Canis lupus familiaris: one gene and its partners. The protein of the gene in region 1 interacts with the protein of each later gene in a biochemical or structural test. Links are inferred from orthologs where the notes say so. Each region holds a gene or a part of one and is shown in the gene's direction. Other genes may lie near its edges. The genes, in order: RPTOR, MAPK1, AKT1S1 and RPS6KB1.

Region 1 (7,244 bases):
TCCCATCACGGCTGAGCAGATGTCCCAGGGTCCTCCCTTCTGGGGCCTTTTGTTGTCGGCTCACTGTTCCGGCACCTTCCATGTAGCCAAGTAAGCACATGGAGCTAATCTGCTTTCTCCCTTCGCGGCTGAGTAGCATTTTCCTCCACTGGACATGGCAGCTGCCGTGCAGAAGTGCCTGTTCCGAGTGGGTTGTTTGCTTTCTCCGCAAACATCCTGTTATTGCCACATAAGGAGCTGCAGTCTCTGCCTCAAAGCTGGAAAGAGACTCCAGGCGCGGGAGGAATTGGTGTCTTCGTTGGCCTGGCTGCTGTAAACCCATAAGCTGTGGCCTTGGCCGCTTGTCCAGACGGTGTGCCGCTCTACTGGACAAGGACGCAGTCTGGAGGGGCCATTCAGGACACGCCAAGGGAGCCAGGCTGCTGTGGAGACTGGAGCAAAAGCACATACGGTGGTAGTTTCTACACGTGCCCCTGGCCCCTCGCCCGCCCTGGCTTTCAAGGCCTCCCGCCGTACTGGGTGGAGCAAACATGGCCACAAGTGCCCGGTGGGAGGTTCGTCCTCCTGGCAGGACCTTGACATGGGTCCGTCAGACTGGAGCACCTGGGCATAGGGGGCGCTCACTGCCCTGGGGGCCGGGAGCCCAGGAGCCTGGCCCAGCAGAGCAGCGCAGGTTCCCACAGCAGTCGGGGGTGAGACCCTGTCACTGAGTCCCAGCTGTCAGACTTTCCACCAGGCGAGGCTCCCCTGGATAACAGGGCTCCTCTCTGACGGACGCCTTCCGTTCCCCCCCCCCCCCCCCCCCCCCCGTGCATCGCGGGCCTTGCCGTGCCCAGCTTCGTACAGTGATGCGAACTCCCACCCTCGCCCCCCTGGTCCCCGTAGGCCGTGCTGTGGGAAACAAATGTGTTGTCCAGTAGAGCAGCACCAAGCAGTTGAGGTCTTGATACTTGCGTGTCCCTCCCGTGCAGGAGCTACTTTGCACAGGTGGGTGCCAGGGTGCCAGAAGCCCCTGCCCTCCAGGCCATAGAGGCCTCAGGCCCTGCTGACCTCATGGCGCCTGGCCTGAGCATCCGATTTAAGAGTGACAGGCTCTGCATCCCAAGCCACTGTGGCCGGCCCCGAGGGAACCTGGTCCCCTGAGCACAGATTTGATGGCCCTCCCTGACACAGGTTCCCTGGAGCCCTGGCCATGCGTTCAGAGTCCCTGGCCACCAGGATGCAGAAGCGAGGCCAGCAGAGAAACGTTCTTAGCAGCCAGACCACTGCCTTTTGTCTCCTTGCAAGTCCTCTCGAGCTCACAAACAAGTGTGTGGAGTGTGTGACTGTTCTTCCTGTTTTCTCTCCCCCTCCCCCCGAAACGCCCCTGAAGACCACCGACGATGCAGATGATGCCGCTGGACACAGAAGCTTTGTCTCGGCCACAACACAGACTGGCTTCTGTGACTGGAGCGCCCGGTACTTCGCCCAGCCTGTCATGAAGGTAGTGTGCGCCTCCGCTCCGGGTACCAAGTGGGCCTCCCGTCTGTGCCCTCGCACAGACACTGGAGTCGGTCAGAGCCCTGCCTTGGCTCCCTCCGTCCCCTCCTTCCCCAGGAGCCTCGACCTCTGGCCTGAGCTGTCTGAGCCCCCTGCTCATGGCCAGACCCAGCTGGTCACTCTCGGTGGCTCCCGCCAGCCCAGCCACCGACCCTCTGGGGCTCCTGACCCGTCACATTACAGCTACTGATGGGCGCCCTAGACGGCCGTCATGGTAGCTGATGTAACAGTCAAAACAGCAAAAGGAACAGACTTCATTTACCCTCCTGTCTTCTCAAAGAAACCAAGGCAGCCTGCCCTCTCAGAGGACAACTGAATCTGTCCACTCGGCAAGGCCGCCAGGCCTGGAGACCCTCCTGGTGAGGACGGCCCGGGGCGTGGGCTCTGGCTGCTCGGCCGGAGAGCAGGCTTGTCCCGAAGACCTGCCTGCTGGGGCTAATTCCAGCGCGCCCGGGCCGCTTGTGGAGCCTGGCACTCAGGTGTCCTTCTCCCCTGGCCCTGACGGGAGACGTGTCCTGTCGTGCCAGATCCAAGCCGCATGTCCAGGGGTCAGTGTGGGGCCAGCAGCGCTTTGTCCTGCTGCTCTTCGCCAGGAGTGCCGACTTTCCCATGAAGCACATTCTTAGAAAACTTTCTTCTTCTTTCGTAAAGACCATTGAAATCATGGTTTACTCTTGGTTGTGTATCAAGCTACACATCCAAGCAGTTTCCTTGAGGAGTAACCTGGACCCTTTATGACAACTCTCATCCTGCTTTTCTTTGCCCATAAAGATGCTATTTGTTGATAAAAACACAAGGCGGTCCTTGTCCGTGCCTGAGGCAGAGGACAGAGTTCTAGTTTGCTGAGCCCCTTTGCTGACAAGGCAGACATCTCTCTTCCATTTTTGAATTGAACCCGACTCCCAGAAAACGGTTTAGCGGTAAAGTGTCAGAAGCCATGAGCAGCCGTTCCCTTCAACCTGGTAACTCGTTTGCTGAGACACCGACCCAAGGAAATGATCAGAGTCGTGGATGATCTGGGTGTTATTTATCTCATGAAATCTAGGATCCTCCTGAAGGCCCAGCACGGAGAGGAGGGCTTAACACTCAGGAAATATTTGATGCTTATTGTTTTAAAAATTAAGCTTTAAAATTGGAATCTTAAGGAAATATGCTAAAACTTTTAAAAAGGGAAAAGAGCAGGACATAAATTGGCTACAGGGAGATCCCCGTTGGAAACACTGTGCACATCCGTCTGTGCCCAGAAAACGCTAAAGCAGCCGCCCCATGGCAGGTGGCGGGTGACGTGTAGGCGTGGCACCTAGCGTGTTTATCCACGGCTGTCTCCCCTGTGTTTTCCATACTAAGCACCAAGCTGCTTTACAGTCAGAACAAAAGTATGAATGCAGCAAGCGCAAGGGGCGGCCACGGCCTGTGCTGGTCTTCGGGCTTTCTGCGCCCTGCCCACTGCCACCACCCGGGCCCCTCGCTAAGAAGGGAGCAAGCGAGCGAGCAGATGCTGGAATTTGCAGCAGCTGCGGCCGTGGGCAGCAGGCCGACCCTAGAACTCTGGTCTGGTCTGCTCTGAGGGACAAGGGTTTGTCCAGGTCTGCAGGAGCTCAGTCTCCCTGACAGTCTCCTCCTCACGGGAGCGAGGCCAACAGGTTAGGGCCCGGGGCCTGCCCTGCCGGGGGTTGTCTTAGGGTGATGAGCAGCTCCTTGGGCCGTCTGAGAGGCACCCGGCCCTGCCGTCCTTGGTGACAGCAGGGAGGAGGGGCATAGGTCCGCAGGCTCGTCCTCTCACCAGTGAGTGTCCTTGGCCACCTGGGGCGGGGGCAGTGGCGTCAGCCCCCGCAGGGCCGCTTCCTGAGCGCAGGCCTGAGGTTTGCTCCTGTGCTTCTCATGGGCACACCCGCACCCCACACCCCTGCCCCGTCCCTCTGTAGCTGCAGGTCAGGGGGGGACAGGGTGACACCCGGAGTGGGGATGCTGCAGGGGGCCTGGGAAGGAGGGCCCTCGCCGGTGTCACTCCCACCTGGCCCGCGGGAGGCGGTCAGGAAGTCCTGCTAACCCTCTGCCAGGCTCTCGGGTGATGGTCACTTGAAGTGACGCGCGAGGCCTCCCGGTCGGAGGTGAGCCCGTCGCGATGGCCTTTGTCCGTAGCTGCTGGTGGCGGCTAAGATGTGAGGTGGTCCGGCGCCCGAGTAACTTCTCCCTCGCGTTAACTAGAAACCATTTCTAAATGTCAGAAGAAGATGCATTTTTATTTCTTTGTAATTTTTTTAAAAGTTGTTCTCCCCTGTTTTCTGGGTGCCGTTCACAGGGGTGTCCTTTTATTAAGTTAATTCATCATCTAACGACATGCGTGCAATACATGCGTTAGGAGCGTTTTTATCAGCCTGTTTCACACATAAACTAAGAACAGCTCATAGCTAGGCTTGTACCTCAGAAGTCAGAGCCCTAAACCGCCTCAGAGAGCAGAACTGTCCTCCGCGTGATGGCTCACAAGCATCCCGCAGCTCGCGCTTGGGGGGCCCGGGGGGCCCACAACGTGGCGGCCAGGACGCTTTCTGTTGGCTTTTTGTCTCTTCACCGCCTGATTCTGTTCAGGTCTGCATGGCCAGAAAGAACGGTTCCGGAGGTGGCTCTCCCGTGACTGAGGAAGGAACCGTCCCCTCCCTCCGCTGGTTTACAGGGCTCGCATCTGCCTTGGAAAGACTGTTTAAAAACCGCCTGTCATGTGCTTTTAAAAAAAAAAAAAAAAGATACATTGAGATTTATTCTGGCTACAAAAGTAATAGATTTTTTTCCTTCAGGTTGGCAGAGTGGAGACTGATTTTACCCAGAGGCGGGCTCTCGGGAGTGCAGGGAAATAGGAGCTCTCCGCCACTGTTGCTGGTGGTAAAACGCTAGCTTGCTGTAGAGCAGTTCACTGGTGGTTCTCGAAATCAGAAATGGCTTCGCCCTAAAATACCCACAGCCCTCTTCTGAGAAAGAGATCCTAAAAAACTAAAATGATTTGTAAGAGCAAAAAGTTGAAAATAAAACAAAACAAAAAATCCATCATTAATTAGGAGGAGCGCGAGTTAAGACCACTGTGTTCGTGCGATAGAGCTGCACGGCCCCTACCGTGAGCCGCCCTGCCTGAGGACACGTGTGGAGTCCTTGTTAGCGAAGGTAGATAATCCGATGGTCCCAAATGCTCGCACAGGTGCCATGGTGCCTAGTTGTGCACGAGCACGGGAGGAGGCCTCCAGGGCCACACATCACACTGCTCATGCTGTTCCTTCTAAAGGTTTGTTTACATGTTTGTTTGAGAAAAAGAGAAAGAGAATGCAGGAGCTGGGGGAGAGGCTGAGGGAGCAGGACAAGCAGACTTCCTACTGAGCGTGGAGCCCGGCACAGCGCTCGATCTCACGGCCCCAAGATTACGACCCGAGCCAAAACCAAGAGTCGGACCCCCAGCTGACTGAGCCACCCACGTGGCCCCGTACCGTTGCTTCCAGAGGGCAGGGACTATCCTTTCTACACTATACGCGTTCAGACTGTTTGAACTTTGTAGAGAACACAACTATTAGTGTCATGATTTAGAACAGATTAAACTATAACGTTTATTTACAGAAAGAGCTTTAAAAAGAGTCAGACTGTTTTAAGACCTCATATGCCGAGTGAATGTCGGTTTAACACGCACTCAGGCCCAAGAGCAGAGTGAAGGCTTTTCTCCAGGCAGAGGGCGCGGATCCTACACCCTGACCCAACTTAAGATTGTGTGTGACCGTGCTCGGGGGTAGATGCAGAACTTGCTTAGGTCTGCACATCCAGGAAGCTGTTTTTTTTTTAAGTGTACTTAACTTTTTTTTTAACTCCGAAAATGAAAACGTAAAATAAAATGGAAGTCCCCCGTAATTCTCTCTCCATCTCTCTCTGTCTCTCCATCTCTCTCCCACACACACAGTTCTCTCTCCTGCCATTGGGATTATTACACACGTACAGCTTTGTGTGCTGCTTTTTGCACTTACGTGGTTATGAATATCAAACATTTTCTCATATCCTCAAATACTCTTGCACAGAAACGACTTCTCCTTTTTCTCTTCTTGTACATAAACCTCCAGGCACACAGAGCCTGAACATTGCCGTGGGCGCACCTTCACACCGGTTCACATCAGCTTAGTTTGCGGTGAGCCCGAACTGTGTCAGGAGGCCAGCCGGGGTCACATGGTCTCCAGTTCCTAAAACACAGGCCCCTGGTTCTTTCCTGGAAAGCTCGCTTGGAAACCAAACACATGTGTATTCCCCTCCGGCATCAGCAGGATGGACCAGGTGCTCGCTTTGTGATGGCAGCTGCATGAAGTGTCTGGTCGGGTGGCAGGGAGACAGCCAGCACCCTCCACTTGCTTCCACGCGGCCACGCCAGGAGGACGGGGGCTCCCACTTCCTGCCACCTGGGGGCCACTTCCGCCCCTCTGCCTGTCTTCCCACCTGCTGGCCTCATGCCAGGCGCCTGCGTGTCTTGTAAATCACCGCTGGATTGTAAACCACCGGGGCCAACAGATGTTTGGTTGTCAGCTATGTTCTTTCTCTAAAACAAACATTCCTTAAACCAAAGCGTTTAAAGAGTAAATACCTACACAAATGGGAAGAAATCACATGTTCACGGGTCGGGTGACTTCTTAACAGCAGGTCCCCAAATAGACCCACAGAGTCCACGTGAGGCTGGTGAAAATCTCAGCTGCCCCTTTTTTTGCAAAAACTAACAAGCTCAGACTAAAATTCAGATGGAAATGCAGGAGTCCCAGAATAGTGCTTACGAAAAATATCATAAAGGACAAACAAAATAAACAACTCAGGCTTCCCGTTTTCAAACCTTGCTACATAGTTGCAGGAATGGGGACAGTGTGGTGCTGTCTCAAGGGCAGGTACGCAGGAGCACCTGGGTGGCTCAGTGGTTGAGCGTCTGCCTTCGGTTCAGGGCATGATCCCGGCGTCCCAGGATCAAGTCCCGCATCCAGCTCCCTGCGTGGAGCCCGCTTCTCCCTCTGCCTGTGTCTCTGCCTCTCTCTCTGTGTCTCTCATAAATAAATACTTACATACATACAAGACCCAAATGCTGAAAAATACAAAACAGCGATGAAACAAATTGGCAGAGACCTAGTGCATGGAAGGCGCACTCCTGGGCCAGAGGGCTCAGTGATGTGCGGGTGTCAGGAGCCCCTAACCTGGGCACAGGTCAATGCCGTCCCACCGAACACCCCAACAGGTTTGTTTTCATCAACAACCCTGTTGTAAAGTTTATGGGAAGAAGCTAAGAAACTAAAATAACCAAAGAAGTTTTGTCACAGAGCTCAGTTGGAGGACTCGCACCGTGTGATCTCAAGAGTCACTGTGACATCAGTCATGAGTGGAATGGGGAGGGCAGACACAGGGACCAGTGGGGCCGAACGGAGCCCCGCAATGGAGCCATGGTGCATCCCACCGATCTTCCACAAAGCTACGGGCGGGGGGTGGTCTTTCCAGCAAGTGTCATTGCAGTGACTGGACATCGGTTTGCCCAGAAAAAGAACATCACTCCATCTCCCACACCATATTCAGAAACCAACTCGAAGAGCATCGCCTTGTGCTATGGAAACTTCTGGAAGCCCCCACTGGCCTGTTAGGCAGTGTTTCCTTGAGAAGCACAAAAAGAACAAGCCACACATGAAAAAAAAAATGGTACATGGGTTTCATCA
Region 2 (7,244 bases), on another chromosome or scaffold:
AGGCGCCAAACCACTGAGCCACCCAGGGATCCCCCGGTTTTATTTTATTGATCACCATTCTGTTTTTTTTTTTTTTTTTTTTAAGTATTCCCTTTTTTTTTTTAACTTTATTTATTCATGAGAGAGGCAGAGAGACAGGCAGGCAGAGGGAGAAGCAGGCTCCATGCAGGGAACCCAACATGGGACTCGATCCTGGGTCTCCAGGATCACACCCTGAGCCGAAGGCAGGCGCTAAACCACTGAGCCACCCAGGGATCCCCTTGATCACTGTTCTTTAAAAAAGAATGTTCTTTTTATTCCCTAGTAGTTTTTCAGACTTGGAATGGATTATCAGACTTGTTTCTTGGAATCCTTGGATTTTTTAGGGGTGCCTCAGAACTGTGAGCTAGGACTTAAGAAAGATGGATAGCGGGATCCCTGGGTGGCGCAGCGGTTTGGCGCCTGCCTTTGGCCCAGGGCGCGATCCTGGAGACCCGGGATCGAATCCCACGTCGGGCTGCCGGTGCATGGAGCCTGCTTCTCCCTCTGCCTATGTCTCTGCCTCTCTCTCTCTCTCTCTCTCTCTGTGACTATCATAAATAAATAAAAATTAAAAAAAAAAAAAAAGATGGATAGCTCCTTACTCCGTCAATAGCCTTGAATTTGAGAAAAGGACCTGCTTTGGAAAGGACATGAAGTGGAAACACTGTTCTAAGCATTGTCAAGTAAAAGCAGACACTTTTTTTAAAAGCTCCCTTTGCTGCTGCTTTTTTTTTTTTTTTTTTTTAAGATTTTATTTATGATAGTCACAGAGAGAGAGAGAGAGAGGCAGAGACACAGGCAGAGGGAGAAGCAGGCTCCATGCACCGGGAGCCCGACGTGGGATTCGATCCTGGGTCTCCAAGATCGCGCCCTGGGCCAAAGGCAGGCGCCAAACCGCTGCGCCACCCAGGGATCCCCCTTTCTGCTTCTTTACCAGAGCGATAATGTCTTTTCTAGCATGTATTCTTTCTCATTGAAATCTGCGCCTGATACTAAATGCAGGAAGTGTTCGGTCACGTTTCCCTTAACCCGTGTTCTAGCCACTGTCAGCCATGACCTTTGGCTTTTCTCATGGCTTGAAGTAGTGCCTGGACACTAGCTATGGAGGCCACCAGGGTGAGCTAATCATTAGCTGTCCCTCCATCTTGATCTGGTTGATGCTACACTTGCTTCCTATTCCTGTACTCTCTACACAGAAATATTCAGCTGCTCACTACTGACCAGATCAAGAGAATACTTAGGGGTTGCTTGGCTGGCTCAGTCAGAAGAGCATGTGACTGATGTAGAGGTCATGGGTTTGAGCCCCATGTTGGGTGTAGGGATTACTTAAATAAATTAATAAACTTTAAAAAAAAAAAAAGAGAGAGAGCATACTTTTGTTTTGGGCCTTGGAGAAAGATGCCAAGCTGCAGAGTGGGCCAGGGGGCCTGTGCTTCACACATGGATCTCAGCCAGGACCTGGAAACCACACAGGAGGACAAGTGACCATTGTCTTCTGTGACCTTAGAGGCCTTCTTTATATGTTGAAAGATAAACTGACCATTGCAGAGAGGACTTTGGATTTCAGAGAAATACATATATAACACTTTACCTTCAGATGCCTGCAAAACATAAGAATGGTTTAGGGGAAAAAATCCAGGTTTTGTAGGAAGAGTTGGGTTTGAACCCTAGGCTTCCACTTTCAGCCTTTGGCTGATCACATCACCTTTCTGAGTCTAGGTCTGCAATTGTTAGATTAGCCACAGTCTTGAGAAGCTCAGAGAGGTAATAGGCACCCAGTGTGCTGCTGGCTCTTCTCCCCATAGTGATGCTTAGTTCCATTGTTTCATGAGTCAATTTAAACAGGAAATGGAAAGTAATCAGTAAATGTTCCTTTGGCTTCTCACCACTGCAAAACCTTTCTCTTTGTAGCTCTGGATTTACTGGACAAAATGTTGACATTCAACCCTCACAAGAGGATTGAAGTAGAACAGGCTCTGGCCCATCCGTATCTGGAGCAGTATTATGACCCAAGTGATGAGGTAAGACCTATACCCTGGCTGCTGCTTCAGGAATATCTATCAGGCAGCAGTAGGCCCAACCAGGAAGGGCCCAGATGTCACGTTAGATTGGTTCTGAGAAGTGTATGATGCCACACCTGGTCCTCTCAGCCTGCATTGTCTGCTTGAGGACTAGTACTGTCAGCACAGCTTGAAACCTCTCCCTACCCCACCCCCCAAACCCCTTCTGTCTCAGAAAGCTTCCTCCAGGGCACCTGCAGCAGAGGTGGGACTGGGGAAATAGATGAGTAAAGGGGAGCACGAATAAACAGGCAGTCCAAGGCTAGAGACCATTGTCATGGTCTGTGGCAGGAAGAGCTACCTCAATCACAGTGCCTGTCTGAGGGTGGAAAGGAGGCCAACTGCCTGCTTGGAGAGGGGCATTGCAAGGGGGCGGTATGCCTGGTATGTGCCTGGTATGCCTCCTTAGGTATGGGGATACTAGAGCCTCTTGTGGTAAGAAATGCGTCCAGAGGTGGATGTGGCAGGCCTCCAAAGCCAGGTAAAGATCCTGTGTGTAAAAAAAAAAAAAAAAAAAAATCCTGTGTGTCATGTTTATCTCTAAGAAAGTCCCAGTTCCTTAGCCTCTTGGATTCTTCTGGGGCTTTATTCTCTGGATGGTAATGAAGAAAAATGTAGTATGAACCAAAGTTTGGATCTTTCTAGTGGAGGCTCATGCAGAGACAGTAAGCTTTCATAAGAGAACCAAGCGGAGTGTGTTAAAAGGAAAAATGGAAGAGGAAAAGAAAAAGATATAAAAGTTAAAAACTGATAAATGAAAGAGAAAGAAGAAATCAAAAAGAGGAAGTATTTCCTAATTAGCCCCCTTCCATCTCTGTCCCCTACCCTCAGAAATAATGGAGGCAGCTTACAAAGATACCTACAACATAATAAATAATAGGGAAGGAGGGGAGAGTGTAAAGTTTGGAGCTCTGACCAGCCCTATGAGCCCCCCGTGTCCTAATCACAAGCCTAGGTGGTACTCCAAATCCAGTTAGCAGGTGGGAGGACCAGAAGGATGGCATATGTGGGACACCATTGTGACCTCACACATACAGCTGCCCTTCAAAGAGGGCTAACTACTTGTTTTTCTCTTGTGGACACGAATCCTTTTCCCCCTTTCAAAAAACCAATGCTTAGTGCAGAGTTGGTGTCCATGTTTCCTTACCCTGAAGGCCTGGTGTGAGGATTACATGGATAAAATCTAGGAGTGCCTGGTAACTAGGCATCCACTGATTGATAGCTGGAATCCTCATCAGATTAGTTGTAGAACATTGTGTTAGTTTGGAGGTACTTAAAAATCAAAATATAAATAATATCAATTGACTGATTTTCTTTTTCACCATTGTATATATGGAAATTCTTTGACATAGTCATTTTAAATATGTACTTAAATATTAAATAGCCTTCTGATTAGTCATAGGTTGTGCTGAAAAGTAAAAATGAAAACTTGCAGAAAACTATGACAGATCATGTTGTAGTCTTGTTACACAGATATTAAGATTTTGGAGTATTTTCTTCTCAGTCTAATATTTCTGTATCTAAACTTTTTTTAAAAACAGGGTTTTGTTTAACACAAACATGCACATTTCCCCATAATATTATTCTTTCTTACGGCTTCATTTTTAATGACTCCATAGTAATTTTTCATATGAAGATAGTATAATGTATTTAATCAAGTATTTGATTTTGAGTATCATGGCTTTTGATTGTGTAAACCTATCCCCACAACAGCAAATTTCTGTTACTTCAATACTTAGTGCCTTAAAATTTTTTTTTTTTTTTTTTTTTTAAGATTTTATTTATTTACTCATGAGAGACACAGAGAGAGAGAGAGGCAGAGACACAGGCAGAGGGAGAAGCAGGCTCCCCGCAAGGAGCCGGATGCGGGACTCGATCATGGATCCCAGAATCATGCCCTGGGCCAAAGGCAGATGCTCAACCACTGAGCCACCCCGGTGTCCCAGTGCCTTAAAATTTTGAAAATGATTTTGGGATTAGTGGTAAATTCAGAAGAGTGGTCAAAATAGATTTAGTTGCTCCCCGTGCATTTACTGTATGTTCACAGAAAATGTGCCTTTTGGATCACGTAGATGGAATACGGGTACATAGATACTTCTCAGAGCTTTTGGGTTTCCAAAGATGTCAGTGCTACTATATACATTTCAGAGTTGAATCCACATACATTATGAATCAGTACATGACTACCTCAACCACAATCACTCTTGTCTACTCCATGTTCTTTGCTCTCCTACAGCCCATCGCTGAGGCGCCATTCAAGTTTGACATGGAGCTAGATGACCTGCCCAAGGAAAAGCTCAAGGAGCTCATCTTCGAAGAGACAGCTAGATTCCAGCCGGGATACAGATCTTAAATTTATCAGGTACCTAGAGTTTTAGTCGCACAACAAACCCTGGTGAGGGAGAGAGAATATAAATTAAATGTTATTAAAAAGAAAGGGGAAGCCTGGGTGGCTCAGTGGTTGAGTGTCTGCCTTTGGCTCAGGACATGATCCCAGGGTTCCGGGGTCAAGTCCTCCATCGGGCTCCCCACGAGAAGCCTGCTTTTCCCTCTGCCTATGTCTCTGCCTCTCTCTCTCTCTCCCTCTCTCCCTCTCTCTCTCTCTCTCTCTCTCTTAAATAAATAAATAAATAAATAAATAAATAAATAAATAAATAATAAATAAATAAATAAATAAAATTTACAAAATATTTCCTTGAGTTCCACATGGAAGTTTCCTTTGCTTAAGTTTTAAAGGGTGGTGAGCAATGTTGTGGTATCGGTAAGATTTCAAAAAATTGTGTTCAAGAAAAAGGAAATGCAGATCTTGATTTTAGAGAACATACAGAAAGAGGAGAGAGAATAGTGTGGGAACTTGGGAGTGAGAATTGTGTTCAACTCTGTAGAAATGAGCAGTGAAGTTGAGAATCACAAGCAAGGGCCAAAGCATTTGCTGGAGAAATGCTTTGACATACCAGCCTCAGGGGCTGGAGCAGTGTTGTGTGCTGCGTGCCCACAAGTGTCCATGGAGCTGCTGCGCTTGCCTTGGAACTGGAGGCTCCCTGACAGCAGAAAGAGAGGAATGGGTTCTGTGGCAGTATGCATCTAATACAACCATATCTCTGCTCCCCTCTTCCCTGTTTTGTCCATTGCATTTTCATATGATGGTTCAGGCTGAGGGCAGTACTGAGGCTCCAAGTAGAAACTGCTTGGGGTTTCACTTGGAGGACATACAAATGGTCAGAGGTCATTAGATGTAACCGCAGGAAGCTGTTCCTAGCCTCCAGCTAAAGGAACAAAAGTCAAACTGTTTTCCAGGGTCCTTGATCATCACACAGCAAGGGTGCTGGGCAGCTGCTGTAACTGCAGCTGTTAGATTATCACCATTGCTGAAAAGGGGTCAAGAGCCTGTGCTGCCACTGATGTGGGGGATCTCTGGAGCCTAAAGCCATCATTACCATCCTTCCTCCTAAAACCAGGAGTCTCCCTCCTAAAAAACCATGTATCGGTAAGAAGCAGAGAAAAGGAAACCTGTTTTTTCCTATATGTGCCAGCCATTGTCAGAACCTCTCAGAAGCCAATCACCAGTGAAGTCCAACAGTGCAGTGACAAGCTCCCAGCACTGTCATTAAGGACAGAGGACAGGGGAAAACTAGAAAGGATATCTGAGAACAGACATGGCCAGCTCAGCTTCAGAGAGCTGTGGAAGCCAGGCAGAGTAAGGCTGGGTTATTAACTGGTAGAGAATACCACTACCAGTTAGTGGTACTAACTGGTTAGAGTACCGCTACTCTACTAATGGGACAGAAAATGGAATTTTCAGAAGTCTGGTATCCAAGTATGGAGGGTTGGAGGAGAAGCCTGGATGGGAGATGAGCTCAAAATGAATCTTCCAGACCAGAGGGCTAGAGGCTAGGATGAGGGCTGTGGAGGTGAGAACCATTGTGTTCAGGAGAGTGGAGGGAACACAAAGTCTGAAAGACTCCAAATTTCCTAACCCTAGCACCTGGGGGCCAGGAGATCTTAGCCTGACACTGAACATGTCCTAAAAGACAAAGCATGTAAAGTGTGGAAGAAGTGTAGGCTTACAGGACATTAGGAGAATACTGATAAACAAGCCTTTGGGGAAGTGTCTGAATGAGAGACAGAAGGTGTTAGGAGGCTGAGTAGGAGTCTAGCAAGGCTTGGATTCATTTATCCTTTCATACCTCTTGGTGTGATAGTCTTTTAAAGTATTTGTTATGTACAGTGATCTGCAAGATCATTTACTGACAGGTCAGACCCCAGGACCAACCATTTTCACTCCTTATATTGAGTCTCCTTCGGTTCTCCTTTCTGGTCCCTCTGCTTGGTGCTCACAGTGGAAGGGGTCCTCTCTCTCCCTTCCTGTGACTGCAGGAGGTCAGATCAGCTGCCTGCGGTTTTGTAGATAAAGTTTAATCTGGCCCTATACGAGAACAGGTTTGCTGACCCCTGGCCTAGAATAGTGAGCTGAACTACTTCGGTTGCTTTTCTTCTTCACAATCCCTTTAGCAGCTCATTTTCCTGAAGTCTGTTAGTGGATTTTGTTTTTCCCCATCTTTTTCTTGTCGAACTGACACATACTGCATGCCTGTGATAAGCACATGTTAGACTGCCTAAGTGAGCAGAGCAAACAACTCTGAAACTGGCCTCAAAGGAGCATACGGTCTAGTAGAGTACAAAGACAGGCAGAACTGCCATGCACAGTTTTCGTGTAAAAGAATGTGCCAGGAAGGGAGCATTCTGTTGTCTGGGGAGGTGCTTGGCAGTGCGGGGCCAGGGAGTCAGGTCCGAGTGGGAGGTTGAAGTCCAGGCTTATCAAGGAGCCCCGCCTCTCCCTCCCAGGCATCTTCCGGTCCTGAAGCACCAGAGTACGTGATGCTAGGGCAGTAAGAATGTTGGGCAACCTCAGAGAACGGGCACCCTTGGGATCACTGGCAAGGCTACTGGAGGAGAAGGGCAGTGCAGCAGCCACAGAGGAACAAGACAAAGGCGAGCATGCTCCTGGGGATCCAGGGCGCAACTCCTGGGGCCTGACATCTGAAGTCTGAGTTAGCAGACAGAGGTCAAGGCAGCTGCCAGAGTCCACCCTAGTTCTGAGAGTCTGGGACCATGGCTTGTTACCATGGACAGGGGTGGCAAAGACCCTCACTCTCTGTTTAG
Region 3 (7,837 bases), on another chromosome or scaffold:
CCGACATTGCCAGCCAAGGCCAGCAGCCTCTTTGAGTGTCTTATAAAATGAGAAAAATAAACTTGTCTGTTAACTTGTCTTCCGCCAGATTTTGTGTTCCCTGGAGCTAAGCGTATTCTGCGTGTGTGCCTTTTCCACTGCAGTCTACCTCAGCGAGGTTTTTTTTTTTTTTTTTTAAGATTTTTTTTTTTTTAATTTTTATTTATTTATGATAGTCACAGAGAGAGAAAGAGAGAGGGGCAGAGACATAGGCAGAGGGAGAAGCAGGCTCCATGCACCGGAAGCCCGATGTGGGATTCGATCCCGGGTCTCCAGGATCGCGCCCTGGGCCAAAGGCAGGCGCCAAACCACTGCGCCACCCAGGGATCCCAGGATTTTATTTATTTCTTCATTAGAGACACACAGAGAGAGGCAGAAATGTAGGCAGGAGAAGTAGGCTCGCGAGACTTGATCCCAGGACCCCAGGATCACAACCTGAGCCAAAGGCAGACGCTCAACAACTGAGTCACTCAGGAGCCCCCCTCAGTGGGTTTGTGTTAGTCAAAAATAAGATTGCCGAAGAGGACAGTCACATTTTCAAGAGAGGCACTCAGCCGACCTGCGAAGCTGACAAAAAACGCAGAATGCTCGATGCTTCCTCCTCAACCCTGGCTTGAGCAGAATTCTGGAATCTCCATTTGTCTCACACACACATACACACCCTCGCCAGGTTATTCAAACCCCCACTGCCCCAAGTGAGGCTTCATTCTCTCTACCCCTGGTACACCATTCTAACCTTCTTCCTGACCTCCCTGCCTCCAACTTCCCTCTATTCGGACCTGCCCATTCCCAGCACGGTCTCTCAGGAGAGCTTTCCACACCCACACCCTTCTCCTCCCATGGTTCCCCGAGGCCTCTAGAACATCATCCAAGCTTCCCAGTCGGGCATTTCAGAATCAACCATCTTTCCAGCAAACTGCTCTACAGAGACACCCCATTTCCTCCTGCCATCCCTGAAGTATTTTCTTGCTCCCTTATCCTTACGGTTCCAGCGCAATGTCTGCTTCCTCCAGAAAGGGGCAGGCCTCTGGAATCAGAGAGTCTGGTATCAAACTCAAGTTCCAACACCTCCTAGCTTTTTGATCTTGCAAAAGGAACTTCCAATCATTGTGCCTCAGTTTCCCAAAGTAGAATGGGGGTGAAGACTGAGGCAGGGTCCAAGTCAGACTCCTCTCTGGGTCCCAGCACAGAGCCTGGTGACAAAAAGCCTCAGGAGCCTCTAAGAACAAGAAGGGCAAAGTCTGGCACCCAGGGTAGGAAGGTGTCCTGGGAAGTGGGTGAGCCACCTGGGTCAGGGTGTGTTTCCTCTCTGAAGGGGACATGCCACACCCCTTCAGGCTCTTGTGGACTGAGAGCTCGTGGAACCCGAATCCACAGGCCACGCCGTCCTCTCGCACCCTGGCAGGGCTCTCCTAAGAGCAAACAGATGAGGGGGCAGCTGTCCCCTAGGCTACAAATCTCATGGTGTCAGCTTTCTTTTGATCGGGCATCTTCAGCTCCATTTTACAGACAAGAGGAAACCAAGGAGCAAAGAGAACCTAGATCCCAACAAGGATCACACAAGCTCCAAAAGTAAGTCTGGGTTTGCATCCAGGTCCTTCAAACATCTTCCACTGCCTGAACCTGGAAAAAAGCGAGTGGAGAAACGAGAAGAGAGAAAAGCCTACCTTCTTGGAGAAGAGAATTTGGGTGGAATCTCCAGCCTCCTCTACAGGAACCCAATGCAGGAGAACATCGCTGTCCTGAGGAAAGAAAAGAGGAATTAGAGAGACTCCCCTCCAATCACCGCAAGCCGTATTTCTGTACTTCTTCCCCGGCCCGGACCCTCAGGCTTACAAAGCCCCCCTTATACCCCCAGTCCGCGCTCCCTGCCTTCTTAAGGTCCCATCGTGACCTCCTAGATCATACTCCTATAGACGCCGCCTCCATCTCGCCCAGGGCCCGCCGGAGCCCTGCTCCCTCCTGGCCCACCTTCTCCACAACGCGGATGACGCCAGCGATGAGGGAGTCCGGGTCCTGGTGCTTCTTGGCGCTGGTGTGCAGATACACACCACCCTTCTCAAACACCACCTGCGGACACAAATCGGTGAGGGGCGGGACCCAAGCGCAGGACAGCCAGGGGGCGGTGCCCAGAGGAACGTCCCAGCCGGCGGGGGCGGGGCCACAAGGTAAGGGTCTTCCCTAGGGCAGCCGAGGGGAGGGTGACAGAGTATTTATAAAGGAATGGTGTCTTTGCTCCGGCTCAGCCGGGCTCCCAGAGCTCCGGCAGGGCGTTGGGCGAAGCCGACTACCAGAGGGCGTCGCTTCGCATCCCCAGGAGGGAAAGAACGCGTTCCCAGTGCTTACCCTGTAGCCGGCTCCCTCCATAGCCGCGGCCGAGGTCCCACTGCCCCGGCCCTCTCCCTTTCCGGGTCACCGTGCTGTCACATCCGGATAGGAGACTCCCCTCAAGCCTGGACAGTGGTAGCGCCCTTGCCTGTTCTAGAACAGGAGTGGACGTAACCACCTTTCAGAACGGGGTGGCTGAACTTGAACCACGAGGGTGTAAGTCACATGGCACGCACGGGGAAGGAGGGGCAGGCCAGCGAGAGTGCGCATGCGCAGTGCCGCTTCCCTTACCATGGAGTAAACAAGGGGGAGGATCCAAGGGCTCCACCCCCTCGCCCCAGCGCTCTCCGAAACACCTCCTTCTTTCTCCATATTGTATACTGGCATCGAAGCCAAGGAGATTCCATTTTGCTCGAGGGCACGGCCAAAGCTTGTCAGCTGCGGCCATGTTAATGCGGGGCAGTCCCATCTCTCTGAGGGGCGCAACAGCAAGGTCCTGGAAAACAGACGGGTAAAGGAAAAGAAGGTGAGAGGAGGCGTACGTCACGAGAGGTGCTGAGGGACTTGGGTTAACGGGATGAAGCCGTCAGTATCCCCGGGTACGAAGCGGACCCAGTCGAATTCCTGAGTCACCGTCGGGAGGCGGCGGTGTAGGCCGCCATATTGAAGCCTGGCAAAGCGAAGCAAAAAAAGTTGCCATATTGGATCTTCCCCAGCATTGGTGCTGAAAAGGGGGATAGGCTGGAGGGAGAGTCCATGTACGCTTTGGGCAAGTGATGCTAGGATGGTTGCCATGTCGTTAATGGGCACTACTTTCCTCCATTTCTGTGGAAGAAGTTGACAATGGGTGAGGGGCGTCAGGTCGCTGGCCTTAGTTTACTGTGGTCCTGAGAATACACGTGCCGACGGCCGTATTTCTTAGCAAATCGAAATGGTCTTGGCTTGTTTCCGAGCAAGCTGAAGCCTTTCTTTCACCATCTTTCTTATGGGCACCCTGCTGTCGCCACTGTCCCACTGTGATCCGGTGATGTCCCCGTGGTCATTATGGTCTCGGGCGGCCCCGATAAGGGAGGCGGAGTGTGCAGCATGGAGGAGGGCCAACCACGCGGAAGTGACGCGAGGCGCCGCCATGTCTTTTGAGGGCGGCGACGGCGCCGGGCCGGCCATGCTGGCTACGGGCACGTGAGTGGAGGCGGCGTTGTGAACCGCGGTGTGGGGAGGATTTGGCCGTCCGGAGGAGAGGGGCGCTGGGAGGGCGAGCCGCTCGCGGGAGGGGTATGGCCTGAGTAGATCAGAGGGCAGAGATCTTCCAGCGACCCTACGCTGAGCGCTAGGAAGGGGTAGCCCGCGGGAACCGTTGTGTCTCACTGGAGGCAAAACCTAGACAGACTTATCCTCCGGTCTGCAGACCCACTAGGATCCTTGCCTTGGCGTGGACCATGTCCACAGGGTCTGGGGGTTGCTCGGGGGGACTCGGGGCTCCCCTCACCCGTCCAAAGGCGGGACTTCCGGTCCTGGCCCCCCACCTGGGCGGGATTTCCTGTTTTCTTCCTAGAGAAGTGGGTCCTCCCTGGACCCCCGGGCGAGGTGGGGAGAAGGTTTCTGAGAGGTCGAGGAAGAGCCCAGGCCTTCACCTTTCCCCCGGCCTCGCGGGGTGGGGGCTGGGGGGCCACCCTCGAGTTTCTCCCACTTTGGGGCGGGGGTGCACTGCCAATTTGACAGGTGGTCGGAAGGGGGCTTAATTAGCATTCCTCCTTGCGTGGTGGACTTTGCCTCTTTCCTCACCTCTTCCTAGAGTTACTTCTTTCAGTTCACCTCCTCATCTCATCCTAAAGGGCCAATTACCTTAGCTTTCCCCTCCCCCTCCTCTGGGGGACAAGTCTCACCTCTCTCCCTAATCCTAGGCTCCTCAAATTGGTTGGCTGAGGACCCTCCGTCCATCTCTGAGCTCCTTAGAGGATACAAGACTTCCTCCAGCAGCTGAAAGGGTAGAGTCTCCCCTGGTCTTGGCCACTCTACTTTTAAACAACTAATGCCAGAGAGCCCCCAGGCCTTGGCAGAGAAGTTGAGTTGCCCTCCTTGTATTTGCCCAGTTCTCCTCCTCTTTACAGTGGGAGGACCCTCACACCCACTCACCCCCATTACACTCTTTTCAATCCTGTAACTACTCTAAGATCTAGGACAGAGAGTTTAATCCTGATGTCCCAGAGATGTGAAAGCCCTAGGCCTAGCACTGCCAGGCTGTGTGACCTTGGGCCAGTCATTTCCCTGCCCTGAGCCTTGGTTTCCTCCTTCTGGTAGGTGAGACCCTGAGCACTTCTCAGTTCTATTGGATTTTGGAGTCAGGCAAACAGCAGAGTCAGCCCTGCTCTGACCCATTTAACTTCTGGGACTCTGACCAATGCCTTAGGCTGTCTGAGCCTCACTTTCTCCATCTGAATGTAAACCTTTCCTGATAAGGAAGGCAAGATGGCATTTGGGATTAAGAACAGGCTCTCCTCTCCAGCCCCTTTTACCTCATCGAGATACTGAATCTCCCTAAGCCCTTGATGTGCAACCATGAAATAGGGTAATAACAGCCCCTGCCTCATAGGGTTGGGGAGAAGGTAGCATGAGAATGGTGATGATCCATTTGCATCCCTGCCTGGCATGTGGGAAGTGCAGGGTGAGTTTGCCATGGGGTCTGTCAGGAATGGTGCTGGTTGTGACCTCACTGTGTGTGGCTTCCAGCAAGGGCTTTGTACTCTATGGGCCTTGGCTGTCTCATTAGTGAGGTAACAGCTCCCACCTTAGTGGGTCAGGTGGGAGGTGAAATGAGAGGTGTAGACTCCCTACACAGAGTCAGTGCTCAGCAAACACTGGTTCATGTGATTATAAGTTGAAAAGGGCCTGCACATTGAAATCAAATAACCCTGGCTGGACTAGAACCTTGCTTGAATTCCTCCAATGTTGGGGTGCCCCCTACCTCCCTGAGGAGGCTTCTTGGCTTCCCAGCAGTCCTGGTTTAACCACTTTGATTTACAGGAAGAAGAAAATGAGACACAGAGAGGGCCAGTCAGTGGTCCAAGGTCACACAGCAGGTTTGAGATGGCCGGAAGCCAGCCCACTTGCCCTTGCTCTTTTCTCTCTCTCTCTCTTCTTTAAGTTTGTTTATTTATTTAAATAATCTCTACACCCTTTGTGGGGCTCTTGATTACAATCCCAAGATCAAGAGTTGCATGCTCTTCCAGTTGAGCTAGCCAGGCACCCCAACCCCTTGTTCTTTTCATTTCATAAGTAGATGCATCCAGTAGATTGTCTGCTTAGGACAGACCTGTTCTGGGGTACAGATCCCCGACCTTGGGGAGCTCAGATGTGTGATGGAGGAGGCAGACAGGTACAATTGTCACAAGCTCAAATGACAGTGAGGTATAATGGATGTAGCCCAGGGCATTGTGGGTCTAGGGAAGGCATCTGGCAGAAAAGTCTTGTAGGAAATACAAAATTTCATGGATGGAGTCTAGGCGCAGAGAGCAGCTTGCACACCATTTTCTGCTCCATCCCTGGTCTCTGAGGCCTGTCAGGTGCTGGGCAATGCTGGCGGCTCAGAGATTAATCCCATGGGCTCCCCCTCAGGTGGCTCCACAGTGGCTGGGGAGATGGAGGTGGATCCAGACAGTACTCCCCATGGGAATATGTGCTAGAATGGAAGGACTCTCAGACATTGTAGGAGTCCAGAGAGTGGGGACTGAGCCCATCTGGGATGAGGGGAAGCTCCTTCCACGCTAGGGTGAGAGAAAGGTCAACAAGTAATCAGGGAACAAGTTATCCAGGTATAGGGGGACCTGGTATAGGGGAACTATTTAACTGCAGGTCTGAGGGCTCAGAAGTCTGGAAGGTTGTGAAGCTGAGTGCAGAGCCGGGGTTACGACCATGTCCTGGGGATACTAGGGAGAGGCAAGGGCAGTTCCAGTGTAGGAGGACCCCAAGGGGCCCGAACTGGAGGCTCAGAGGTTCAGGAAGAGGCTGGAATGATTGTCCCGCAGAAAAAGAATGCAGGCGAGGCATATAACTTCAAATCTTCTATAAGCTGCATTAAAAAAGTCAAAGGAAAACAGATAAAAGTCATTTTCGCCTTATATCAACTAGCCATTATATCTGAGATGTCATCTTTTCCACATGTAATCAACCTCAGACTGCCAGTGAGATCTCTGACATCCAACCTTTTTTGTCCCAAGTCTTCTAAAATCCAGTGTGGGTTTCATACTCATGGCACCTCTCACCTTGGACCCGCCACATCTCAAGGGCTCCTTAGTCACACAGGTGGCGGGTGGTGCCCACATTGGACTAGGCAGGGCCAAGAGGAGGGGCGGGGGCTGTCGGTACTGGGCGTGGCGGGAGGAATGGGTCCGGAGGGTTGGGGACGGTGCTAGGAGGTGTGGATGGTGGGGAATGTGGAGAGTGGCAGATTTCGGGGAAGGGGCTGAGCTCAGCCGGGACCAGGTGGCTGGGAGGGGTGGGAGCGGCGTCTTGGGGCAGGTGGACACGTAGGGGCCAGGTGCAGACAGGGCAGCCAGCCGGGCCTCAGCTCTCTGTCCTGCTCTGCCCTGCAGGGCGTGGATGGCGTCGGGGCGCCCCGAGGAGCTGTGGGAGGCGGTGGTGGGGGCCGCCGAGCGCTTCCGGGCCCGGACAGGCACGGAGCTGGTGCTGCTGACTGCCGCGCCGCCCCCGCCACCCCGCCCAGGCCCCTGTGCCTACGCGGCCCATGGCCGTGGGGCCCTGGCTGAGGCTGCCCGCCGTTGCCTCCACGACATCGCCCTGGCCCATAGGGCTGCTGCTGCTGCCCGGCCCCCCGTGCCCCCGCCAGCACCACAGCCACCCAGCCCTGCTCGGAGTCCCCCTCGGCCTGCCCCGGCCAGGGAGGATGACGAAGAAGACGAGGAGGAGCGGACAGAGACGGAGACCTCTGGGGAGCGGCTGGGTGTCAGCGATGATGGAGGTGAGAGGGGTGGGGGCTGGGGTAGCTCTTGGGCTTGGCAAATGGCCTGCAAGGTCAGAATCCCGGAGGGGTGGGCCTCGCCTATCTCTGTGCCCGGGTGTTCTGTGGCAGCCTCAGGCTCAAAGAGCCTTGGGGGAGCAGGCTGGCTTGACCTGGGCCCTGCTGTGCGACTTGGAGCAGGTCATTTCCCCTCTCCCAGCCTGTATGGTTACATGTTAACCGGGAGCCAGCTCTGTGCTGGGAGGTGCTAGACACAGACACAGAGCCAGCTTCGGCCCTTTTCTTGAGGGACTCCCAGTCCTGCCAAGGAATTGGTAGTCCAATAGGAGACCGTGCCCTGTGGCGACCATGGGGTCGGAACCTGAGCTGGGAGCTCGAGCAGAACGAGTTATTTCAAATCTGGGGTGCCTAGTGCTGGTGAGAAAGGTAGGAATTACAGAGGAGTCAGGAATGCAGGCCACAGCTTAAGGGAGCCACGGGGAAAGCAACTGG
Region 4 (7,686 bases), about 32 Mb from region 1:
TTTTTAAGATTTTATCTATTTATTCATTAGAGACAGAGAGAGAGAGAGAGAGAGGCAGAGACCCAGGCAGAGGGAGAAGCAGGCCCCATGCAGGGAGCCCGATGTGGGACTCGATCTTAGGACCCCAGGATCAGGCCCTGGGCCGAAGGCAGGCACCGAACCACTGAGCCACCCAAGGATCCCCTAAGGAGTTTTAAGGAGGAAGTTTTATAGTTAATATTATAAAATCCAGGAGAGAAGTTAAGTGAACTGGGAAAAGAAAAAGTCACTGGATCTTGTGATAAGATTACTAGGATTTTTTTTTTTTTTAAGAGAGGGAGGCAGGGAAAGGAAGAGGGAGAGGGAGAGAATCTTAACCAGGTTCCATGCCCAGCATAGAGCTTGATCTCACCACCTGAGATCATGACCTGAGCTGAAATCAAGAGTTGGATGCTTAACCGACTGAGCCACCCAGGCACCCCACTAGGATCTGTTCTTTGAGCACTTTTTTTTTTCTTTGAGCACTTCAATTGGGTGTAGGGCTAAAACAGGACTGAAGTTGGTTAAAGAGGTTCACCTTTGAGAATCTTAGATGGGAAGGGAAAGAGATAAGTAGGAAAAGAAAAGCTTGGGGTGCCTGGCTGGCTCAGTCGGTTAAGCATCCAACTTAAGGACACTTAATCTAGGGGTTATGAGTTCCAGCCCTATATTGGGGTAGAGTTTACCTAAAGAAAAATTGCAAAGCTTATTCCAAATCTTTGGACTCTGTACCACCCCACAGTGCCTACATCCCCAAGGGAATAAATCTTAAAAAAAAAAAAATTTAAAAGCTGTAGTCATAAGTTGTTTGGTCGGTTTAATTTGTACTTATTTTTTAAAAGATTTTATTTATTTATTTGATGGAGACAGAGAGAGAGCACAAGCAGGCAGAGCGGCAGGCAGAGGGAGAGGGAGAAGCAGACTCCCCACTGAGCAGGGAGCCTAATGCCAGGCTTGATCCCAGAATCCCGGGACCATGACCTGAGCCAAAGGCAGACAGCTAACTGACTGAGCCACCCATGTGCCCCTATTTGGCTGGTTTTAGATTGGTGAGATCTGAGCATGCTCATGTGCTGAGGGGAAGTTGCCACTGGAGAGGCAAAGGTTGTTAACATAGAAAAAAGGGCGGAGAGCAAAGTCATTCCCTATTAAGATGTGAAGAAATGGGGTTCAGACACCATGTGGAAGAATGGCCTTGAAGAGGAGTCAGAGTACAGGAGAGGACTATAGATGGATCACACATACCTCCATTTTCCTCCTCACTAAAGAATCTTTCTTTGGAAGATGCTTGATATGCCTCATTTTCTCGTTCAGAGCAGAGTCCTTGGGGACAGTGTGAGTCACTATACAGAGCATCAAATACTTCAAAACCAATCTGATTGCCACACTGACCAAGTTGCACTGTTACTACTGACATGCTGAGATGCAAAGTAGACCTATTCCCTCAAAAAAGTAAGCAACCTGTAATAGAAAAACATAGGCTTTGAGAACCATTACAGTACTAATAAACAAAGAACAAATAAAATGTCATATGTACATAGATTAAAAAATTAATTTTAAAATGCCATATAACGTGTTATAGATTTAACAGGTATGTTGTCTAAGCAGCTAATCATTCAAGGAAGTTGTTTTCTTTCTCTACGTAGTTTTGGGATTTGGAATTTACTGTACCCAGATGCATTCATAGACAGCTCAATAGTTACTGAAATCTGATTTGTATCCACTGTGTCCCTAAGCATGCATTTTTAAAAAAGATATTTATTTTATTTATTCATGAGAGACACACAGAGAGAGGCAGAGACATAGAGAGAAGCAGGCTCCTCACAGAAAGCCAATGTGGGACTTGATCCCAGGACCCTGGTGATGGCGACCTGAGCCAAAGGCAGGCGCTCAACTGCTGAGCCAGGCAGGTGTGCCCCTAAGCATGCATTTAAAACAAAACAAAACAAAACAAAACAAAACAAAACAAAACGAATGTTAGTTGAAGCAATTCCTAGTACGTACTTTACACTACTGGGACACACAAAACGCAGAAGTTAGCTCAACAATTGCACATTTAGGGGATCCCTGGGTGGCACAGCGGTTTAGCGCCTGCCTTTGACCCAGGGCGTGATCCTGGAGTCCCGGGATCGAGTCCCCGCATCGGGCTCCCTGCATGGAGCCTGCTTCTCCCTCTGCCTATGTCTCTGCCCCTCTCTCTCTATGTCTATCAAGAATAAATAAATAAAATCTTTAAAAAAAGAAAAAAGAATTGTACATTTAATTAACCTTCTCTCTCTTCTAAATAATGACTTTCTTTCTCTACTGATCACCTTCTGCCTGGTAACTACAATAACATAAGAAAGACTGCATTTAGCTTAGGCAAGAGAGCAAGGGAGACAAAGCTTGGAAAGAGAGGGTCAGATGAAATAGGAGAGCAAGTCTTCACCACTTTTAACAACGAAATGAGACAATTTTTGGTAAAGACCTCACACCAGGTTTATGCAGCACTGGAAAGAGCAATGATCTTCGAGCCACACTGTACTTTTAATTTTCAAACAACCCTGCAAACTAGGTATTCTCATTTTATAGATAAGGAAACTGAGGTTCTGAAAGGTAAGTTTCTCCCTTTCCCCACCAGTCCCAGAGGCTCCCCATAAACCCCACTCACTGACAGACCCAAAACCAGCCGTCTCTCCGCTCTGTTCAAACTTCAGAGGGCCAACCCCCTCATTATGCGCATGCTCACTTTCAATACCAAAAAAAGCTATGGAGAACTAATGCGCATGTTCACAAACGAAGAGTTTTGTTGTGGGTTCCCCCCCCCCCCGCCCCATTCAGAAAGGTTAATTACGCATGTTCAATTTCAATTTATCAACTTCAGACATGGCACGCATGCTCATTGCCCATCAAACGCTTTGGCCAACAATGCGCATGATCTAGCTACCATAAGAGGCTTCGACGGGGGTTCTGCGCATGTTTCTGCCAGCACCCGGTTCCAGGCGATAGCTCTACGCATGTTCATTGCCCACACTTAGGCTTCACAGAACCTTGTACGCATGCTCTAGCGCTGAACTTGAGGAGCCAGTCTAGGGCCTAGGCGCAGACGCACTGAGCCCAAGCAGCCGGTGATGGCGGCAGCAGCGGCGGTGGCTGCAGCGGGTCCGGGCCCATGAGGCGACGACGGAGGCGGGACGGCTTTTACCCAGCGCCGGACTTCCGAGACAGGGAAGCTGAGGACATGGCAGGAGTGTTTGACATAGACCTGGACCAGCCAGAGGACGCGGGCTCTGAGGATGAGCTGGAGGAGGGGGTGAGGCCCGGGGTCCCGGGGGGCCCGAGGTGACAGGGCCGGGGCGGCGGCGCGGGCCCTGGAAGCCCGGCGCGTCCGAGAGCGCGGAGATCCGGGCGGGCGCGTGTAGTCTCCAGGAGGAGCGTAGGCGCCGCGCGGTCCGAGGCGGGGGAGCGGGCGGGGCGGACCTGGCACTAGGTGTGAGGCCGCTGCGGGGCTCGCAGGTGCAGGTCGCGCCGGTAGCCCCAGATCAGCGCAGCCCGGAGCAGTCTATTCGTGGAGGCGGCGAGAAGGGGTGCGTGGTCGATTCCTCGAGCTGTGGAACTTCAGTGTGGCGGGGCGCGAGAGGTGTAAGCGCGTGTTGGGGGGAGGGGGACTGCGCTTTCTGGGTGTCCCTGAAGTGCAGGTGAAGTGCGGAAGGGTTTCCCTTCGGGTATAAGATTTCATATATTAAATCTTCAGACCTCCCACAACCACCTCTCTTCTCGGCCTGTCGCTTCTCTCCTAGGAAGCGCTCAGCTGTTAGAAGTGACAGCTGAAAACTTCTGTCGGGAGTAGCGCTGCCGCTGCTGTTACAGCCACCAGGAGTTTTATTTCGGGAGCAAGGGGGCTCTGCTGCATCTTCCAGGGTTTGTTTGTTTGCTTTTTTTTTTTTTTTTTTAACCCCCCCTTCCGTGTGATTTTTTTTTTTTTTAAGCACTTAAAACGACACACGGTATTTGTAACTTTTCCCCTAGTTGAAGATGTCTACATTTTTTCGAAATACTTTGTGTAATTTTGGGGTGGAAAAAAACCAGCGTTGACAGCTGTGATTTGGCTTGCCAAAAATAAATTGCTTGAACTGAGACTTGTGAATGGTGGTGTGAGGGCTTTCCTTGCTGTAATTTAGGGTACTAAATTTAGAATTGTTTTTTCCTAATACATAGCTTGGTTTTACCATTGATGTCTTAATAGTTTGTTATTCTTTATGGAATAAAGAATATTCTTTTTTCAAGATAAATTTACTGAAAAATCAGAAATTGTGCTTGAAGTTCAAAAATACTGCTGTCATACTACATCACTGATTGTGGGCAAATGATCATCAGTGATAACCTCATGATAATTTAGGTTCTGAATCCCACTGTCTAGGTTAATACATGAGTTAAGGACGGGTGTCAGATATTTGCTCTATGTAAGGGGCTTCCCTTTTCCTCACCTGATTTTCTCTTCTGGAAAGTAAGTTGTGCCCTGCTTGTTGCTAGATCCAGGTACTATAAGTAAAGAGCTTTGGATATTTTAAGAAACTAAGTGGGCTGAAATAATATTATTCTTTTCATAATCAAATGAGTCTAAATAAAAATCACATAGTGTGTAAGGTAAGTATTGAGATGTGTACTTTTTAATATGTTTGCGTATGGAATTCCAGTTAGCCTTTTAGTGGAATACCTGATACACTACATACAATTTGAAACAAATATGGAATTACTTTCACTATGTATTGCATACTCTCATTAACTATATTGGCTCCATATGGCAGTGGCTTTGGAGCAGGGCAGGAGAGAAAGCTGGATAATTCAGGAGACATTAAAGCCCTTGGAAGTAAAACACTGAATTAAGATTTCTTTTAAGAACTGGGACCTCCTTGGGTGCCTGGGTGGCTTAGCTGTTGAGTGTCTGCCTTCCTCTTAGGTTGTAATCCCGGGGTCCTGAGATTGAGTTCCACATTGGGCTCCCTGCATGGAGCCTGCTTCTCCCTCTGCCTAAGTCTCTGTGTCTCTCATGAATAAATAAATAAAACCTTAAAAAAAAAAAAAAAAAAAAAAGAACTGGGCCCTCCTTGAGATGTATTTTTCACCTACTCATGTACATTCATTTTGCTGGCAAATGCAAGCAAACAGGTTTTTGAGAGTGTGTGGAAGAGGAGGCCAGAGAAATTGGTAGAAATATAAAAGAAAAAGAAATATGGCCTCTACCCTGGGAAGGAGAACTTTGGAGAAAAAGCAAAGGTAAAGAGGATTTTGAGGAACAGCAAAATACATCTTACTTAGCAATGCTTTTTGGAGTTGAAAATATTTTTTTTTGAATGTTATTCTAAGAGGTTCCTCAAGGTGGACAGACAAGCAAAAAGAGTTGAGAATGGGATTGAGTTGGCCAGTGACATCCAGATATCTCTAAAATAAAATTTTAAAATTCTAAAGGATGAGAAGCTTAGATTCTTGGAAAATCTGGCTATTTGTAAATATACATTTAGTACACACACTTTTTAAAATATCAGTGCACATTAGAGTAGTCCCACTTCTTCATTTTATAGTACAGAAACTGAGGCATAAAACAGGTGATTGCCCAAGACCATATAGATAACTAGTAGTTGACTAGTAGTGTCTTCTGACTCCATTCAGCCTAAGACTTCACTGCACACCTTCTTCATTGTTTTTACTAGTCTTGTTCATACTGTACTTCTTTGTGGTATGCCAAGTTCATTCAGATCCCTCTAGGCATTGTCACTGTATGACCTAGAATAAATTGCTTAATTTTTCTGACTTTTTTTTTGTTCTCTGCAAAATGAGGATTATGTGAAATAACCATATAAAATACTGCCCTCTTAAAATATTCTGGCATATTAAGCAGTTAGCTAGTTCATGGAAATACAGCTTGTTGGTGTTACTCATTGCAAAGGAATCAAATGTTCAGATTTACCCTCATGTATGCCTAGAGACTTAAATGCAGTTATACCAGAGGTGCTACATTTTTGAAACTAGGATTTTTAAATTTATAAATATATGCCTTTTTAGATATGTCACACTGACTAAATTTATATTAGCAAATATATGTATTTATACAGCATAGTTAATTCTTCATTGAGTAAAGCAAAAGGACAGTAAATGAATGCATTTATGGATAAAGTTGAATGTCTGTTACCTAACTTTAAAAAAAGACCCTGTTTGGTTGGTTTTTCTTAAGATTTTATTTATTTATTCATGAGAGACAAGAGAGAGGCAGAGACATAGGCAGAGGGAGAAACAGGCTCCCTACAGGGGAGCCTGATGTGGGACTTGATCCCAGAACTCCGGGATCATGCCCTGAGCTGGAGGCTGATGCTCAACCACTGAGCCACCTAGGGGTCCCAAAAAGACCCTGTTTGAATACTTCAGAGGACTGTGTTAAAAAGCAATGGGTAAGAGGGTTTTTTGGGGGAGGGGAAGCTGGCTGGGTAGGTCCAGGTCTTTTTTGTTTGCTTTTCACTGGTGATGGTATGATTTGGGGAGACTGAGTTGAAACTGAGGGCAAGTTTTCCTCTAAAGATTTTTTTTTAAAGATTTTATTTATTTATTCATGAGAGACCCAGAGAGAGAGGCAGAGACACACAGGCAGACGGAGAAGCAGGCTCCCTGCAGAAGCCCAATGTGGGACTCGATCCTGGAACTCCAGGATCACGCCCTGGGCCAAAGGCAGATGCTCAAGCACTGAGCCACCCAGGCGTCCCAAGGATTAGACTTTGCTTTTTTTTTTTTTTTTTTTGGATTAGACTTTTCTATTACTTTTAACTTTGTGTCTCCACAGAAAATAAGTTTCCAATATCTTCATAATCTAATGAAAATCTCCAGAGGAGGGGTGCCTGGGTAGCTCAGAGGTTGAGCATCTGCCTTTGACTCCGGGCGTGATCTCGGAAAAGTTTAATCCTTAATTTTTACTAATTCAAAATTTGAAGTACTCACAGAAGTTTATTGCATAGGTTTCAGGTTGGAATATCAGATTTTTATTGGATAAAAAGTTTACAGTTTTTTAGTGCTTTGAAAAGCAGTGCTAGAGCAAATATTCATGGTTATGAAACATTACAGAAAGATCTCTCATCAGTACATATCTTGCATTACAATAGGCAAACAGCTCAAGATTTTGGGCAATGTTTACTCCTTTTCTTCCAATTCATTGGGTTACTGAGTCTTATTTTGTAAGGAAATGACTGAGCAAACAGGCAAGTAGATAAACAGTATAATGAATATCTGAATTAAAGATATTTCACCTATTCTTTAACAATTTATTTACATTTTTATGAAATTTTCCGTCTTTTTTTTTTTTTTGAAATTTTCCGTCTTTAATTGGGATTTTAGGCATATTAACTTGAATTTTTATACAATATTAATTTAGAACTTTGGAAATCGTTTGGTGGGCTGGTTTGAAACATCTTGTAAAGTACCTTAGATGAGCAGGATTCACTTTGTCAATCATAGTACAGGAAAAAAAAGCATTGGATGGGTCATAAAGCTTAAAGCAGCAGAAAAAAAAAATCTAACTAGAAAGTTTCCTATGAAAGAGAGTTGTCTATGTATTATGTGATGTTAGCCTGATGCTTCTGATGTGAGATTTTTCTGAAGGTAACATGGAGTAGCAGAAAAGCATTGTGCCTCAAATGCTTCTGC

What was found.
Region 2: of the proteins of RPTOR (region 1) and MAPK1, one has a biochemical effect on the other in vitro, tested with the Homo sapiens proteins (2 studies listed by BioGRID, with this or other methods). The link is inferred for Canis lupus familiaris from reciprocal best matches to the Homo sapiens genes RPTOR and MAPK1.
Region 3: the proteins of RPTOR (region 1) and AKT1S1 interact in a biophysical measurement, tested with the Homo sapiens proteins (2 studies listed by BioGRID and IntAct, with this or other methods). The link is inferred for Canis lupus familiaris from reciprocal best matches to the Homo sapiens genes RPTOR and AKT1S1.
Region 4: of the proteins of RPTOR (region 1) and RPS6KB1, one has a biochemical effect on the other in vitro, tested with the Homo sapiens proteins (6 studies listed by BioGRID and IntAct, with this or other methods). The link is inferred for Canis lupus familiaris from reciprocal best matches to the Homo sapiens genes RPTOR and RPS6KB1.

What each region holds. Positions count from the first base shown.
Region 1 is NC_049230.1:1,877,135-1,884,378, reverse strand, and holds part of RPTOR (regulatory-associated protein of mTOR), read left to right. Parts: intron 1-1,372; coding exon 1,373-1,483; intron 1,484-7,244. UniProt on the Homo sapiens protein: Component of the mechanistic target of rapamycin complex 1 (mTORC1), an evolutionarily conserved central nutrient sensor that stimulates anabolic reactions and macromolecule biosynthesis to promote cellular biomass generation and growth.
Region 2 is NC_049247.1:31,188,797-31,196,040, reverse strand, and holds part of MAPK1 (mitogen-activated protein kinase 1), read left to right. Parts: intron 1-1,932; coding exon 1,933-2,042; intron 2,043-4,317; coding exon 4,318-4,434; 3' UTR 4,435-4,443; intron 4,444-7,244. UniProt on the Homo sapiens protein: Serine/threonine kinase which acts as an essential component of the MAP kinase signal transduction pathway. MAPK1/ERK2 and MAPK3/ERK1 are the 2 MAPKs which play an important role in the MAPK/ERK cascade.
Region 3 is NC_049222.1:107,359,599-107,367,435, forward strand, and holds the start of AKT1S1 (proline-rich AKT1 substrate 1), read left to right. Parts: upstream 1-2,681; 5' UTR 2,682-3,352; coding exon 3,353-3,549; intron 3,550-3,557; exon of another isoform or gene 3,558-5,447; intron 5,448-6,959; coding exon 6,960-7,345; intron 7,346-7,837. Other genes in the region: TBC1D17 (TBC1 domain family member 17), read right to left, coding at 1,707-1,781, 2,011-2,109, 2,386-2,406. UniProt on the Homo sapiens protein: Negative regulator of the mechanistic target of rapamycin complex 1 (mTORC1), an evolutionarily conserved central nutrient sensor that stimulates anabolic reactions and macromolecule biosynthesis to promote cellular biomass generation and growth.
Region 4 is NC_049230.1:34,350,055-34,357,740, forward strand, and holds the start of RPS6KB1 (ribosomal protein S6 kinase beta-1), read left to right. Parts: upstream 1-3,065; 5' UTR 3,066-3,169; coding exon 3,170-3,310; intron 3,311-3,826; exon of another isoform or gene 3,827-3,918; intron 3,919-7,686. Other genes in the region: TUBD1 (tubulin delta chain), read right to left, coding at 1,264-1,435. UniProt on the Homo sapiens protein: Serine/threonine-protein kinase that acts downstream of mTOR signaling in response to growth factors and nutrients to promote cell proliferation, cell growth and cell cycle progression.